2 linked regions of the Oryctolagus cuniculus genome follow. The protein of the gene in region 2 purifies or fractionates together with the protein of the main gene of each other region. This does not show direct contact. Links are inferred from orthologs where the notes say so. Each region holds a gene or a part of one and is shown on either strand. Other genes may lie near its edges.

Region 1 (2,951 bases), on a different chromosome or scaffold from region 2:
AAGAGTGGGCATCCACACTGGCCACACGCTCTTTTCCTGGGGCTTCCGCCAGGACTTCAACCGGGCCCTCGCAGGGTGGTGCCAGTCAGGGAGGGAGGCGGCCAGTGCTGCAGGACGCACCACAAGACAGCAAGCACAGTGCCATCCACCCTGCAGGCACACAGCAGTGAGGGGGCGGGGTGACAGGTGTGCCCACCTCCGCATCTGAACACCTCCCACCTCTGTCTCAGGCTGGCGGGGCAGCAGAAATCACCGGACACACAGCAGGGGAGGGGGAGGGGAAGAGGGAGAGGTCTTCCATCCCCTGGTTCACTCCCCAATTGGCCACAATGTCATAGAGTTGCCACCTGCTGGCCCACTCCCCAGATACCCACAATGGCTGGAGCTGGGCTCAGAATCCAGGTGTCCCACGTGGGTGGCAGGAACCCAGCCATCGGAGCCCGGCTGCTGCTCTCCCTCCCCCAACCCCTCCGCGACCCAGGGGCTGCACCAGCAAGAAGCTGGTGTCAAGAGCCCGAGGGGACCAAGGAGTCCCGCCCACAACTTCAGCCCTGGGATGGGAAGACGGGGCGCCCCGGTGGCCAGGCGGCCAGGGGGAGCAGGGCGTGGCAATCCAGGTGAAACCCCTGGGAGTTCCGGGGAGGGGCACGCCAGCGGCCCCAGGGGGACGCGGCAGGTGCAGGCCCTGGGCTGTCGCGGGCGGAGACCCATCCTGGGGAGCAGGAGAGTCTGGCTCCGCAGAAGGGACTCCCGGGGGCTGGGCCAGCAGGTACAAGCGACTTTATTACTGGGCACTTTGGGTGAGTAACGTCGCTCGCACCGGGACCCAGGGGGCCCTTCCTCCTCGCTCCCTTCCCCTCCCCTCAAACGCCCAGGCTCCCCTCCTGGGCGGGCGCGCACAGCGGGCCGAGGCCGCCGTCCGGGGCGCGCGCGCACGACCGCGGGGCGGCGGTCCCCGGGCAGCGCCCCAGGCTCTCAGCGACCGCGGGCCGGGGCGTCTCGGGCGTGGCTGAGCTCTCCTGGGTGGGCGCCCTGCGCTCGGGGAAACAGAAGCTGCAGGTCTCCACCGGGCCGGGCGGCGCGCATGTTGCGGGGCCGGCTTCCATCGCGGGATCTGGGAGGGCAGGAACGGAGGGAGGGCGTCGGCGGCGACGGGGCCCGGGAAGCCGCGGCAGACCCCCACCCCGCCCCGGGCTCCAGAAGCCGAGGGCGCCCCCTGCCACCACCAACTCTGCCCTCTTGCCTGCACCGACCGCCGTACGCCCTGCATCCAGGGCCTGGCTTGGGGACCCTCTTCTCCCCTCTTCCCGCCCAGTTGTTTTAATCCGAGTTTGCCAAAACGGAGCAGGAAGGTGCCCCAGACCTCTCCCTGGACGATACGGCCTAACGCTGTCCCCGTAGGCGCAGGGGCCGCGTAGGCAAGCCCGGGTTCCCTCCCCCATGCACTCACCTTGGGAAGGCTTGGCCCGGGGTCTCCCTGCCGGGGGCTGGCAGGAAACCTGGTCGCCCCTCCTCTTGAGGAAGCAGGCCACGGCCACCAAGAAGCAGCAGATGATGGCGCACAGGCAGACCCCCAGCGTGCTGTAGACCAGGGCCAGCTGGTGCGCGCTCAGCCTGGGCACCAGCGGCGCTGCAAGACAGAAGGGACCCGGAGCTCAGGACCCGAGTGAGGAGCGGCCCTTGCTCCCCAGGGCCCTACGCTAAGTGGCTGCGCCCTTAGATCAGCAGCTGCCCAGACCTCTCTCTGTCCGAAGTCTGCGCCCCCCCAACAAAGCCCAAGCAGCCCACCTCACCCGCCCCCCCGCACCCATGTGGGAGGCCTGGAAGAAGCTCCTGGCTCCTGGCTTCAGCCTGGCCCAGTCCTGGCTGTTTGCAGCCATTTGGAGAGTGAACCAGGGGTTGAAAGATTCTCTCTAACTCTGCCTTTCAAATAAATAAAATAAATCTTAAACATTCAAGGACAATGCATAGTGTGAAAAAACTAGGCATGGATTTCACATGTTTTGGTGCCAGACTGAAGCTGGCATTTTCCACAAACTTTTTTGTGGAGAAACTTTAAGATAGTCCTAGAGGTGGATGGATGAAAGCCCACAGGAGCAGGACCAGGGTCTTTGTCCTCAACTCAAGTTTATCCTGCTCCCTACAAGGGAGGCAACACTGGGCCCTGGGGTGCAAGGTCGGGCATGCCAGGCTTAATGTCACCTGCACGTGAGACACCCATGACAGTCCCATGTGCCAGATTCAAGGTCATGTGCACACAGTGCACTCATGACAGGCTTGTGTGCTAGGTTTAATGTGCGTGTGTCACACTCATGACAGTCCCGTGTGCCAGGCTTAATGTCACGTGATATACCCATGACAGTCCCGTGTCACATGCACACGATGCACTTACGACAGCTCGCATGCGCCACTTCCCTTCTGCCTATCTCCTTTAATCAGCCCCCAAGGCCATTCCGATCAGCTGTACTACACAGATGAGACAAGAGGGGCGGCACGGTGGTGTAGCAGGTAAAGCCGCTGCCTACAGTGCCGGCATCCCATAGGGACACCTGTTCATTCCCAGCTGCTCTACTTCCCATCCAGCTCTCTGCTGTGGCCTGGGAAAGCAGCGGACAATGGCCCAAGTCCTTGGGCCCCTGCACCTGCGTGGGAGACCCGGAAGAAGCTCCTGGCTCCTGGTTTTGGATCAGCACAGCTCTGGCTGTTGCAGCCATCTGGGGAGTGAACCAGCAGATGGAAGACCTCTCTCTGTCTCTTCCTCTCTCTGTAACGCTACCTCTCAAGTAAATAAATTTTAAAAAGAAAAAAAGCAAACAAAAACCACACAACAGGTCACTTTCCACGTGTTACCCAGGGGCATGGGCACCCAGGTCCCTCAAACGTGGTGGGTGGAGTGGCCTCTTTTGGACCCAAACACCACCACTGAAAACATCCTTTCCTTAAAAAAAAAA
Region 2 (4,453 bases):
ACTGGATCAGAAGAGAAGCAGCCAGGACTAGATTCAGCACCCACATGGGATGCTGGTGCCGCAGGTGGAGGCTTAGCCACAGCACCACAGCAGCGGCCCCTGGATGTGGCTCTCGACTGCAGCTTGCTAATGAAGACAATGGGTGCAGATGACACGGCACGCAGACTGAGTTTCTGACTCACAGCTCTGGGCCCAAGCTCAGCTCTGGTCCTTGAGGCATTTTGGGGAAGAACAAACAGATGTAATCTCTTTCTCCCTCTGTCCTTCTACTTCTCAATTACATTTAAAAAATTTTTCAGGGCCGGCGCTGTGGCACGGCCAGTAAAGCCACAACACCAGCAACACCGGCATCCCACATGGGTGCCAATTCGTGTCCTGGCTGCTCCACTTCCAATCCAGCTCTCTGCTCACGCTCCTGGGAAAGCAGTGGAAGATGGTCCAAGTGCTTGGGGCCCTGCACCCATGTGGGCGTCTTGGAAGAAGCTCCTGGCTCCTGGTTTCAGCCTGGCTGGGCCCTGGCCATTGTGGCCATGTGGGGAGTGAACCAGCAGATGGAAGATATTCCTCCCTCCCTCCCTCTCTCTCTCTCCTCTCCTACCGTGTAACTCTCAAAAAATAAAATATAAAAGCATTCATTATAAGCAATTTGCATATTCCATGAAGTTAGCTACCAACCCAGTCTTTTCCTTACCAAGTATTTGCAAACGAAAGCTCGGACTGCAAGAGCGAGGAGAGCACATCCCACCAATCTAAATATTCGAAAAGAGTCAAACTCCTCTGCCGCGCTCCCGTCCTCCTGACTGGGCTTCTCGCTGGTCAGCTGCCTCCGCAGCTTCATTGCTTCCTCGAACCTGGAAAGGTACTGCTCCAGCCCGTGGCGAGAGGCCCTCTGCACGGCGTCCGCGGCCAGCTCCCCTCTGCTGCGCAGCCGGAGCTCCAGGTTCAGGTCGTCGGGGCACTCGGGCGGCGGAATCAAAGAGTCCAGCGCGTCCCCCCGGACCTCGGCCGCACTGCCGTGCTGGTCCACCGCTCCCGCACCAACTGAATCGCCCAGCACCACGCGCTTGGAGACGGAAGGAATGCCGAGGGCGTTCAGCCTGTCACCGTCCTGCTGCTTCGATTTTGCTTGGCTCTCTTCTTCTGAGGAGAGAAATGTAAGTCTCATGTATTCCATACAGGCGAACACTACACGTTAATATTTTAAAATAAGCGGCTGCAGCTAGAACTTGGCAGTCTCTGAAATGAAATCCACACTGACTGTGCATAAAACGAGAAGTGGTTCCTCCCTCCACACCCTCAAAGCCAGCCGTACACAACAGCTCAGCCTTAGCAGGAGGGGCGAGGAGTGAAATACAAACGGAGAGCCGGCATGGAGCAAACTGTTCTCCCTGCGCTTCCTGGACAGTATATCCCACAGTTCCTGCTCTAGTTATCTGGCTGAATACATAAAATCATCAAGCCTTCTAAAAATCAGTGTGTGTTTGTTTTTTCTAGCTCGAATGTTAAGTTAGATTTTTGAATCCAGAGCTCTATGAGCACAGGGTGTGGCCTGTCCCCCGGCCACTGTTCACGGGTCAGGCAGCCACAGTGTGTCCACACACAGCCTTAAGACCCTGCCATGGCTTTTCTTCCTAAACAAAACCTATAAAGATAAAAATCTCAAAGCAAAAGAAGAAAATAAGAACGCATCTCCAAGAAAGATGATGAAGAATGCTTTGGGAGAGACAAGCATCCTAACGTCGAAGGAGAACTGTTCTCCCAACCACCGTTCTGGACAATTCGGAAAGGGGCTCTCCCTCCCCAGGAGTGTGTCTGCAAGCTCGGAGCCACACTCCATCTCAAACCTCCCGGGATTCAGGAAGAGCTAGGGAGCTCGCAACCAAAAACCAAAGGCCGATTACTAAGAGAAATGCTGGACGGAAACCTTCCCACTCGCGAGCTAAATGATTCGTTCTATTCACAGGGAAAAGGATTCTTTAAGAAAACACCTCGACACCCTCTTGGGGACACTGCTCCAGGTCTCAATGCAAACCCAACCTCAGTCACACCCGTCTCAACGAACAAGGACAGCGCAGCTCGGTGGGCGCAGCGCACCTGCTGGTCTGACTTCTGGAAGGCCTGGAGCTGAACACAGGCACTAGCTGGGGTGGGGTGGGGGGGTCTTTCTTCCATGAGAGCCATTTGAACATCTATAACATCATTTGTGCGCCAAACAAAATTATCAACTTAAAAATCAGCCTGCCACAGATGGACTGGACTTCCAATCCCGCCTGCGGCGATTTCGCGGACCTCAGGCCGGATGTCCCCCAGCCCCGCGTCTCCGACCCACCGCGGGCGGCCCAGGGGGCAGAGCCGACCAGCGGGTGTGCCCGACAGCAATTACACAGCAAACGGCAACACAAGGCGGATGCCAGGGAAAGCCCTGGAAGCAGAGGCACCAGGAACGGACAGCAGGGGACATCCTCCCGGGGGCACCGCGGGCACAGCAGACCAGGGAGAACGGCCGTCTCCAGGCTGCCGCCCGCAGGGACCCGCAGCCGTCGTGGCAGCGACCCCGGACTCAGGCAGGGGGACGCGCGGCAGGGAGAGGCCAGCGAGACGCAGTGTGGGGGCAGGCAAGATGACCCCGAAGATGCCAAGCAGTCGGCAGAACACTGCGGGGAAACGGACGTTCTCACCCGCGCCGCTCCCGGGCCTGTGGAAACCCATGATGCGGTTGATGCGCTGTTCCGAGTTCATCAGCAGCTTTCGCCGCCGCAGCTCGGCCCGACGCTGAGAAGCCGACATGCCGGACCCTGCCGGGGCCCCCGGTCGGTCCCCGCCGTCGGCAGCGACGGTCACCGGCTCCATCCGCCCATCCATGGTCTGCAAGTGGCGGCGGCGGCGGCACGGGTGAGTTCGGGCAGGGCCGCACGGCGCCCCAGCCCGTCCCAGCGTAGACCCGCCCCCCGCGCGCGGGGCCGGGACTGCGGGCCGAGCGCGCCCGCGCCGCCCGATGGGAAGGTGCGCGAGGCTGTGGCCGCCATTTTGAATGAGGGCAGCGCCTGTGGTCCAGGACGGCCTGCCTAGCATTCCGCTGACGGCTGGTCTCCTCTCTTCTAAAATTAGAGATAAACAAAATGGTCCGTAACCTGGCGATGTGGAAAGAGATGAAAGTGACGAAAGCGATAGGCATATAGGTCACAGGTGCCAGGAAGCAAAATGGAGGATGCAGCTTCAGGCGCTTTTTTGCAGAACTCCTGCGGCCTCGTTCATTGGACGCAGGAATACGAAAATTGGCGAACGACGATTTAGAGAGGAATTTTTTCTCGGGGCTGACTCTGAGTCCCTTCAGAATTTGCTCTTCTCTCGAGTGGGCTAGTTCTCATGCTTTCCTCACGCTTTTTTTTAAATAAGACTTTCCCTGCGATGTCTTCCCTGTCCGTACTGTGTGAATGATCCACGCTCTTTAGTCCTTTCTACCCCTTTTCTCCTTTGCATGTACAGCCACCTTGTCAGGTGTGCTGAGTGTTTGTCGCCTGCGTCTCACCACCTGAAATATAAGATGTGTGAAGCCCCGCAGTGAGCTTTGTTCTCTGCTGCGATTTCTATACCGATGTGGATGCACGTCAAGGCCTCCGTGAGGCGCAGCGGCGCAGGCCCTGAATGGGAGGTTTGGGGGCGCCCGAGACTGTTTTTAATTATGTATTTTATTTATTTGAAAAGCAGGATTAGAGAGAGAGAGCTCTTCCATCCGCTGGTTGACTCCCCACATGGCGGCAAGGGTTGAGCCAGGAGCCGGCGCTTCAGACAGGTCTCCCAGGAGCGGGGCCCGAGCACTTGGCCGTCTTCAGCACCAGGCCGGGCGCCGCCTGGACTGGAAGCGGGGCTCCTGCACCCACATGGGCGACATGGATGGTGTTCCAGGCTCCTGGCTTCAGGGCGGCCCTTTCTCTGTAACTCTGCCTTTCAAATAAATAATTTTTAAGGAAAAAAAAAAGCGTCTTTATAAAAAATTACTCAAGTAGCTAAGTAATTTTTCCCTAACCGTAATATCAAAGTATTTATGTTAACTTTTGGTACAGCTATAAATACTCCAAAACAAAATATGCAAAATCATCTGAAATTAGATTTCACGCTGCTGGCTACTCGACTGTGAGTTGGGCCCAGCAGGTCCCCGGGGACCTCTACAGCTGCCAGAGGGCTCTGCGGACGTCATCACATACTTCGGTCTTTTCCCGGGTTCACTTCGGCTCTGACTCTACCTTTTTCATCCCAATCCAAACTGCAGAAAAGCAACAGGCAGGCTGTGATTTTCATTATACAAATGAAATAGTGCCAATTTGGGTGTGCATATTTTAAGGTTGTCCAGTTTCTATGAAGAGTAAGAAGAGGCATTTAGTATGTTCCGGGCCCGTGGCAGCTCTCTGCCTTCCCAGCTCTGCAGGGCAGCCTGAAGATGCGGATCTCCAGC

Evidence for each region.
Region 1: the proteins of CAMLG (region 2) and TNFRSF13B purify together in Homo sapiens (affinity purification with western blotting; 3 studies listed by BioGRID and IntAct, with this or other methods). This does not show direct contact. The link is inferred for Oryctolagus cuniculus from reciprocal best matches to the Homo sapiens genes CAMLG and TNFRSF13B.

Annotation. Positions count from the first base shown.
Region 1 is NC_091448.1:66,023,681-66,026,631, forward strand, and holds the end of TNFRSF13B (tumor necrosis factor receptor superfamily member 13B), read right to left. Parts: intron 1,631-2,951; coding exon 1,451-1,630; intron 1,115-1,450; coding exon 864-1,114; 3' UTR 764-863; downstream 1-763. UniProt on the Homo sapiens protein: Receptor for TNFSF13/APRIL and TNFSF13B/TALL1/BAFF/BLYS that binds both ligands with similar high affinity. Mediates calcineurin-dependent activation of NF-AT, as well as activation of NF-kappa-B and AP-1.
Region 2 is NC_091437.1:22,958,509-22,962,961, reverse strand, and holds the start of CAMLG (guided entry of tail-anchored proteins factor CAMLG), read right to left. Parts: upstream 2,966-4,453; 5' UTR 2,863-2,965; coding exon 2,679-2,862; intron 1,141-2,678; coding exon 692-1,140; intron 1-691. UniProt on the Homo sapiens protein: Required for the post-translational delivery of tail-anchored (TA) proteins to the endoplasmic reticulum.